Linked DNA regions of Daphnia pulex. The main gene of each other region encodes a partner of the protein of the gene in region 2 in a complex. Links are inferred from orthologs where the notes say so. Each region holds a gene or a part of one and is shown on either strand. Other genes may lie near its edges.

Region 1 (3,325 bases), on a different chromosome or scaffold from region 2:
TTAAAACCTCAGAGGTTGAAATTATGTAAGCAGGGGGTTGTAGGAACAAGTTTAGGTTAACATTTTTTGTTCTTGCCAGTTTGACACTAACCCTGAAATCACATGCTTGGGCAATTTGCTGGGATAATCCAACTATATTATATAAAGAATAATCAGCAGTTATTTTACACTTTATAACCATAACCATAATCTGTAAATAATATATTTGAAGATACCATTATAATGTGAAGTAGCCAATGTTTTTAAAGCAGTGGAGTGTTCTTGAGTATGAGAAGGGAGTTCTGATTTAAGAATTCGAAGAAGATGCCAGGGATTTGAATCAAGACCAAGATGTGTTGGTCCCTTCATAAGAGTCTCCACCATTTGTTCAACATTTTTCAGTTTAGAGGTCATAGCATGAATCTCAGTTTCAATTACAGTTTGAGGAATAGCAATATAGCACCCAGCCTTTTGACGTTCTCTCTCAACTGCGGCATCTGACAATAAAGATGAAAACCGGCGGTTTAAAGAATGAATTTGGTATGCCAGAGTAGTTCCTCCTCTTCATAAAAAAGAAAAGATACATTGTAGTTTTCTATATGCTGATTACAAGAACTCGCTAGGAATTGAAATACCCAATTATAAAAATGACAGCTAGAGATTTCGGCAAATTTTTCCATTTCACTTGGCGATGTTTCCTCATTTTATTTACATGCTTGAAAAAACTATAAGAATATAAATTATGATTAGAAAAAAGGAACTTGGAGAAAATGAAATGAATTGAACAGAAACGCAAGCAGTCGACAAAACACCAATAAAATAAAATCCGAAAAGCTTTGTTGTCAAATTTCATGTATTAATATAATCTAGACGCCTGTTGCATTTTCGTTTGAAATTGTTTCTGGCGAAACTTTTGCAACTTTTCTCAATTCTTTAACATAAGTTTTTGGGCACTGCATTTCTTGCCATCCTACTGGAACCATAGGAGTACCTTCTTCACTGTATGCTATAACAACACCCAATTCATTTTCTGCTGTTGACAAAACATAGGAATGTGCATCACCTAATGAGAGCTAACAGCAACATGAAAAAAAATTTCATCTTAGAAGTCATACTCACTTTACAGTTGAAATAATGATCAAAATCAAATAATTACCACTCTTGCTAAAATAATGTCATTGGGACGAAAACATTTGTACATTTCAACCCTGTCCTTTTCTGTAGCACGCACATCTTCTTTCCTCAGCTGTCCTCTAAAGGGTTCTGCCAATACAATGTCCTTAACACACAAAATGGCACATCGTGCCCAGCGAGGATTTATTTGTGTTACTCTGGCTATTTAAAGGTTTAAGATGAAATTCACAAAATTCAACACATAATTTAAACAGTACCTGTAACCACATCACCAGCAGATGGAACAACTGTCTGTTCTTTACCACTTCTAACCTCTATCAGGATTCTCTAGGAAGAAAAGTTTGAACATAATATTCGGAAGTTCATTATTTCACACCAAATGAATTGTTTCACTGATCTAATTTCACTGTTTAACCACTAACCTTATCAGGTTGTGAAGTTACTTTAACAACACCTGCTAAACATGATGTGATATAACCTTGTCTTGTGTAAGTTCCGGCTCCTCCAATATATTGGTTATCCGACAGACATATGCGTTGTCCTGAAAAATGCAAACATTTTATCAAAATGACAACTAAAAAAATATGTTTTTTAATATTACCGGGAGTGCATATTACACATTTGTCTGATTCTTTATTCGTCATTTTTTTCGCACACCAGAACAACTTCGAAGTTAGAAAAAAACGTCGACTGCTGGGCGGCTCACGGGTGGGGTTCGTTAAGTGTGCACACAGCATGAACTACTCTAATTAAGGACGGTATATTCTTCGGCGTTTCCTATGTCGGCCATGTAAATTTTTTTGTGGGAGAATCAGAATCAGAATTTAAAAATTATCATAGAATTACCATATGTTCCTATAGGGCTCTTCGGGATCTGTTTTATTTAGCCGATTTATCTGGCAACGCAGCATGGTTCGAGACTTTTTTAGGGCTAGAACGGGGAGAAGAGGGAGGATGGGAGGAATGGGAGGGAGGAGGGTGTCCTCCCATTCTCCCTCTTCTCCCCGTTCTCGCCCTAAAAAAGTCTCGAACCATGCTGCGTTGCCAGATAAATCGGCTAAATAAAACAGATCCCGAAGAGCCCTATACCTAACATTTATTTTTATAGAGATATTTCCAATTCCTTAACGAAAAATTTGAAATAGGGCAAAACACCAGTGCCATCTAGGAACCAAACCTCCTAAGCTCTTGTTAGTTTGCAAGCAGATGCCCATGCATGCATACCGAGAGAAAGAAAAAACCACTCTCTTATCTAGTCCTCTGACATAGCTGCCTAACTATATTTTACCTTGTAGCGTATATTCTTAAGAGCTTAGGGTGTTTGGTTGCTAGATGGCACCGGTGTTTTATCCTTTTACCCCTACTTCTGAAAGTAAATTTATAATATCTTAATGATTAGTTTATTTCACTAAGATTTATATCTATAGTTGGAATCAGCAAAAAAAACTGAATTTAATGATATTTTTTATTAATGTTTTCATGAAAATACCCCACCCGACTAGCTTTAACAAGGCAGGATAGGCGAAGAATCCCGTCCTTAATTAGAGTAGTCCATGCACACAGTCAATCTCCCAATAGACGTTGCCAAAAGTCACGTGATGCCACATTTTACCCAATAAGATGATGCCTTGAGTACTCTCGACCATGCCTACTCTCGACATGGTACGGAAAGTGTGTTTAACAAAGCCAGGGGTATGGAAAGACCCCCATACCTTTCTCTCCATACCCCTGACAAAGCTGCCATGTCCCAGCAAATTGCGTGAAATCTATTGCCATGCCGGTCCGACAGGGCAATAGCCATAGAGAGCTATTGCCCTGTCAGTGCTAAAACCGCCACCTGGCGACGGCTATTGGTAGCCTTTCTGAACCAAGAACAATCTTAATGGTAAAACTTTTAGGTTTGGTTTGGGTTTTTAAAATAAGATGCATAGGGTAAAATTACAAACAAATTTTATGACAAAAATTTTATTTTTTCGAAAAACACATGTCACGATATGATGTCAGCTACCTGCGTTATTAGCAAGGTATCCGAAGGGATGTTTATGATTTTTTTTTCATAAAAATCAATCAAATAGCATATGAGAAAGATGAACTTCAAAAGAAAAAAAATTGTAGCGTTTTTGAATCCATATGAATACTATGTAGAATTAACGACTAGGAAAGTTATAATTTAATATGGAACGTTTAATATTGTAAAGTTATCCCAGAAAAT
Region 2 (3,550 bases):
TTAAAAAATGTAGGTACTTACACAGTCCATGAAGAGACGGTGACCGTATTCAACAGCACTTGCCCAACAAAGACGTCCGTCCTGGCGTTGGCCGTCACATGCGCTCTTCTCTTATTACTGTACATCTGCACCGTGTTCTACTTCCTCATGCGCCGCTGGTTGGGACCCGACAAGAGCGTCTAAGATTACAAACCCATCTAATCAAGGTGGAATCCTAATATCTAAAAACACGGGACATTTTCCAATCGTGAAGCCCTCCTAAACATAATCGTTATCCATTCGTCGTCACGGAATTTCGCTAGATATTCATTGTTTCTATTTATCATTATTTTTTTTTTTTGTTAATTATTATTTGCTTGATTTGTTAAAGCAGCGCTTTAACATGACTTCCGGTTAAATCTTTTTTTTTTCCTTCCTTGGTGGACCTAGGGAACGGGGTCCATTAGTAATTTATTATCCTATATAATCTTTTTAGGTGTTTCAAAACTAGCCCAGGGCATTTTGTTGAGTGGTGCTTACGGCAGATCTTATCCTGGTTTTCTCTAGCACACTTGTTTTAATGTAAATATGATTTGTGGGGGGGATGACTTATAAATGAAGTCTACAAAATTTTAATATTCTTGGGAAACCGGTTGTAGTTGGAAACAAAAAAAAACCGCCTTTATTATCGAATGTTTCTTCGTTTATGTTTTTCCCTGCCCCAGAATAAAACTTTGTCTGCAGTATGAATAAACTGATCCACACCATTAATGTTTGGGAAATCGAATGTCAACTTCTGGTTCAGCCTGAGCCATGTTTATTCGAAAATTAAATTATTCTTTTTCCATTTCGAACTGCTTACGAACCATTAAAGCGATTTCTTTTATCTTGTCCGGTAGGAGAAGATCCTTGATCTACATAAAAGCATTATATAAGTTAGCATTGAATTATTTAGTTTCAATGTAAAAATAATTACCTCAAGCCCAGCATTTACGGAGGCTTCGTAGGCATGCATAATGCTGGTATCATAGATCATCATCTTGCAGTGCGCCAAAGCTGTCACACAATTCCTTAACCGGCTTATAGCTTGTCGATCGGCATGCGGAACTGTCTATAGGTTTCAACAGAATTAGCTTCCACGTGATAATGTACAAACATCGACTTTTTAGTACGCACCTCCAAGTTTTGAACAAATCCACCGGCGCCATCGTCAAGGAGCGTAGGGCAGATCCAAACAAATCCATTGTTACCCATAATGATACTTGCTCCGCAAGGCAAGTTGTGGAAATGAGTCTTCTGTCTTCGGATCAAAGATGGACTAACTTTTATTAGGCAACCTTGGGAAAGCTATAACAGATAAATGGTTGTTATTACAGTTAATATTTTAAATAACTTATTGTTATACTTTTCCATATTTCATGCTGCGGGTGTGTAAAGAAAGAGCTCCATCATTGAAGATGTTTTGAACCTCTGCACTGACCAAATCTCCTTCTTTCAGGTATTGCCTCATGGCTAATTCATCTTCTGCTGATCTTCTTCTCTAAAAGCATTATGAGATATAAATATTTGTGTAATTGCACAAATAAAAAGTCTTTCTTACGAGTTCACCACCAGGCAAATTGACTGACTGAAGAAGAAGCACTGAATCTAATCTTGCATTGGTGTCCAGTTTCCAACGTTTCTGTGAAACCTCAGTAACCCTACCAATTACGACATCTCCAATCTCCCCATGATAACGAGATTTCAAGGGTCTAACTGAAATAAGTTGGTTGACTCTCTCCACAACTCCAGCAACACTGGAGTACAAACAGTCATCTTGCATGTATGTTCCATGACCCCTTAGCAAAACATAAAATAAGATTATCATCAAGAAAATGGCAAAACTTTTAACAATCTACCTCATGAATCCTGTTTCCTTTGTGATCAAAGAGCCAGGTGTGACAAGATGTTTGGGTTCAGTAGAATCAGCGACGATATGAAAAGGAGGCACTTCAGAAGCAAGGCGAATGTCTACCATTCTTTTGGTTTTAATTATCCTAATGTATCAAGTTCAAAAAAAAGGAAACAACAGCACACTTGAAAATGACAATAATTCATCGTGTTCTGCTATACCATGCTGCTACGTTGCCTAAGCTATGGCGATATCAAAATATTTAAGAATATAAATATTTGTGGATATTCTTGTCAAAATGATATTGTGCAATTTAAATCGACTAATTAACTTATGTTCGAAATGGAAAATATAAAGTCAACTGAAATTTTTTTAACGAATCAAATAAAACATTGCGCGAATCACATTAGTATTAATTTTTGCCATCAGATGTCTGTTTGTTTATATGCCGATTCATTTCATTCGTCCGTACAAGTAAATGTCACTAATTTGCCAAAAAGCAATACTTTTTTCAACAACGATATGCGTTGCTGGGCGACAACGAGTATCTTGGCACTTCCTTCCCAAGACTGCTCGCAGAGGTTGGCAACGTAACCTTGTCTCGAGATCACTTCATCTCCAGCATCGTCCCGAAATGGAACCCGACAGTGATGAACAGCAGAGAACGGAACTGTTAACGACCCTTGAAAATTTCAGATGGCTCGGAAGTAAAACCCCTTGTTTCCCTGTGAACGGAAATAAGGTTAGTGTTCTAATAAGGTATTTTATTAGTGTCTTCTAGTAATAGTTGTAAAATTTTTTCTTAGGTTCGAGTTTTGTCTGATCCTGAAGATTTCTACAAAACACTTATTGAAAAGACTAGTCAAGCAAGTCAAAGAGTCACTTTTGCATCCTTATATCTTGGAACAGGAAATCATGAAAATGAGCTTGTAAAAACAATTGAAAGTACTTTGAAGAAAAACTCTGGCTCCAGCCTGAAAGTTCGAATTCTGTTGGATGCAACAAGAGGCTCTAGAGGTGCCCAATTCAATTCCCGTACAATGCTGCTTCCCTTAGTTCAGTCCTACAGCCAGCAGTGTTCAGTCCATTTTTATCACACTCCAGCACTTAGAGGATTATTAAAGAAAATTCTCCCAGAAAGATGGAATGAAATTATTGGCTTGCAACATATGAAGATTTACATATTTGACGATTCCTTATTAATCAGTGGCGCAAATTTAAGCCACGATTACTTCACAAATCGGCAAGATCGATACATAATTATGGAAGATTGCAAAGATTTAGTGGATTTCTTTGACCAACTAGTAGAAACTGTGTGCCAGTTTTCATTTCATTTAAGTGAAAACAACTGCCTTAACTTGAATTCCGCTTTTCCTCACCATCCGTTTGAATCCAATCGGCTTGAATTTACAGAAGAAGCAAAACGGAGAATCAACAACTTGTTTGAAAAGCAAATAAAAGCAAATGTTTCGTCCTCGATATTTCAATGGCCGAATCCGTCTGCTTACGACACCTGGATCTTCCCTTTCGTCCAGATGGGGCAGCTAAACATTTACATGGATAACATCTTGACGCGCGAGATTCTAGAAAACGTACCGGCAAACGCCGAATTATGTCTAGCAACCGGGTACTTCAACCTGACTCAGGACTATATGGATAGTTTGCTAGAAGCGTCCCAGC

The links.
Region 1: exosome complex component RRP4-like (region 2) and exosome complex component CSL4-like share a complex: the UniProt entries of both Caenorhabditis elegans proteins name them as parts of the RNA exosome complex. The link is inferred for Daphnia pulex from reciprocal best matches to the Caenorhabditis elegans genes exos-2 and exos-1.

What each region holds. Positions count from the first base shown.
Region 1 is NC_060026.1:7,115,757-7,119,081, forward strand, and holds exosome complex component CSL4-like, read right to left. Parts: upstream 1,870-3,325; 5' UTR 1,851-1,869; coding exon 1,715-1,850; intron 1,655-1,714; coding exon 1,536-1,654; intron 1,441-1,535; coding exon 1,371-1,440; intron 1,315-1,370; coding exon 1,136-1,314; intron 1,053-1,135; coding exon 846-1,052; 3' UTR 817-845; downstream 1-816. Other genes in the region: protein SERAC1-like, read right to left, coding at 8-132, 216-541, 615-682. UniProt on the Caenorhabditis elegans protein: Non-catalytic component of the RNA exosome complex which has 3'->5' exoribonuclease activity and participates in a multitude of cellular RNA processing and degradation events. Involved in regulation of antisense ribosomal siRNA production.
Region 2 is NC_060023.1:8,701,132-8,704,681, forward strand, and holds exosome complex component RRP4-like, read right to left. Parts: upstream 2,111-3,550; 5' UTR 1,997-2,110; coding exon 1,878-1,996; intron 1,818-1,877; coding exon 1,580-1,817; intron 1,520-1,579; coding exon 1,385-1,519; intron 1,327-1,384; coding exon 1,156-1,326; intron 1,091-1,155; coding exon 956-1,090; intron 894-955; coding exon 813-893; 3' UTR 780-812; downstream 1-779. Other genes in the region: uncharacterized protein LOC124197887, read left to right, coding at 14-183; CDP-diacylglycerol--glycerol-3-phosphate 3-phosphatidyltransferase, mitochondrial-like, read left to right, coding at 2,349-2,612, 2,677-3,550. UniProt on the Caenorhabditis elegans protein: Non-catalytic component of the RNA exosome complex which has 3'->5' exoribonuclease activity and participates in a multitude of cellular RNA processing and degradation events. Involved in regulation of antisense ribosomal siRNA production.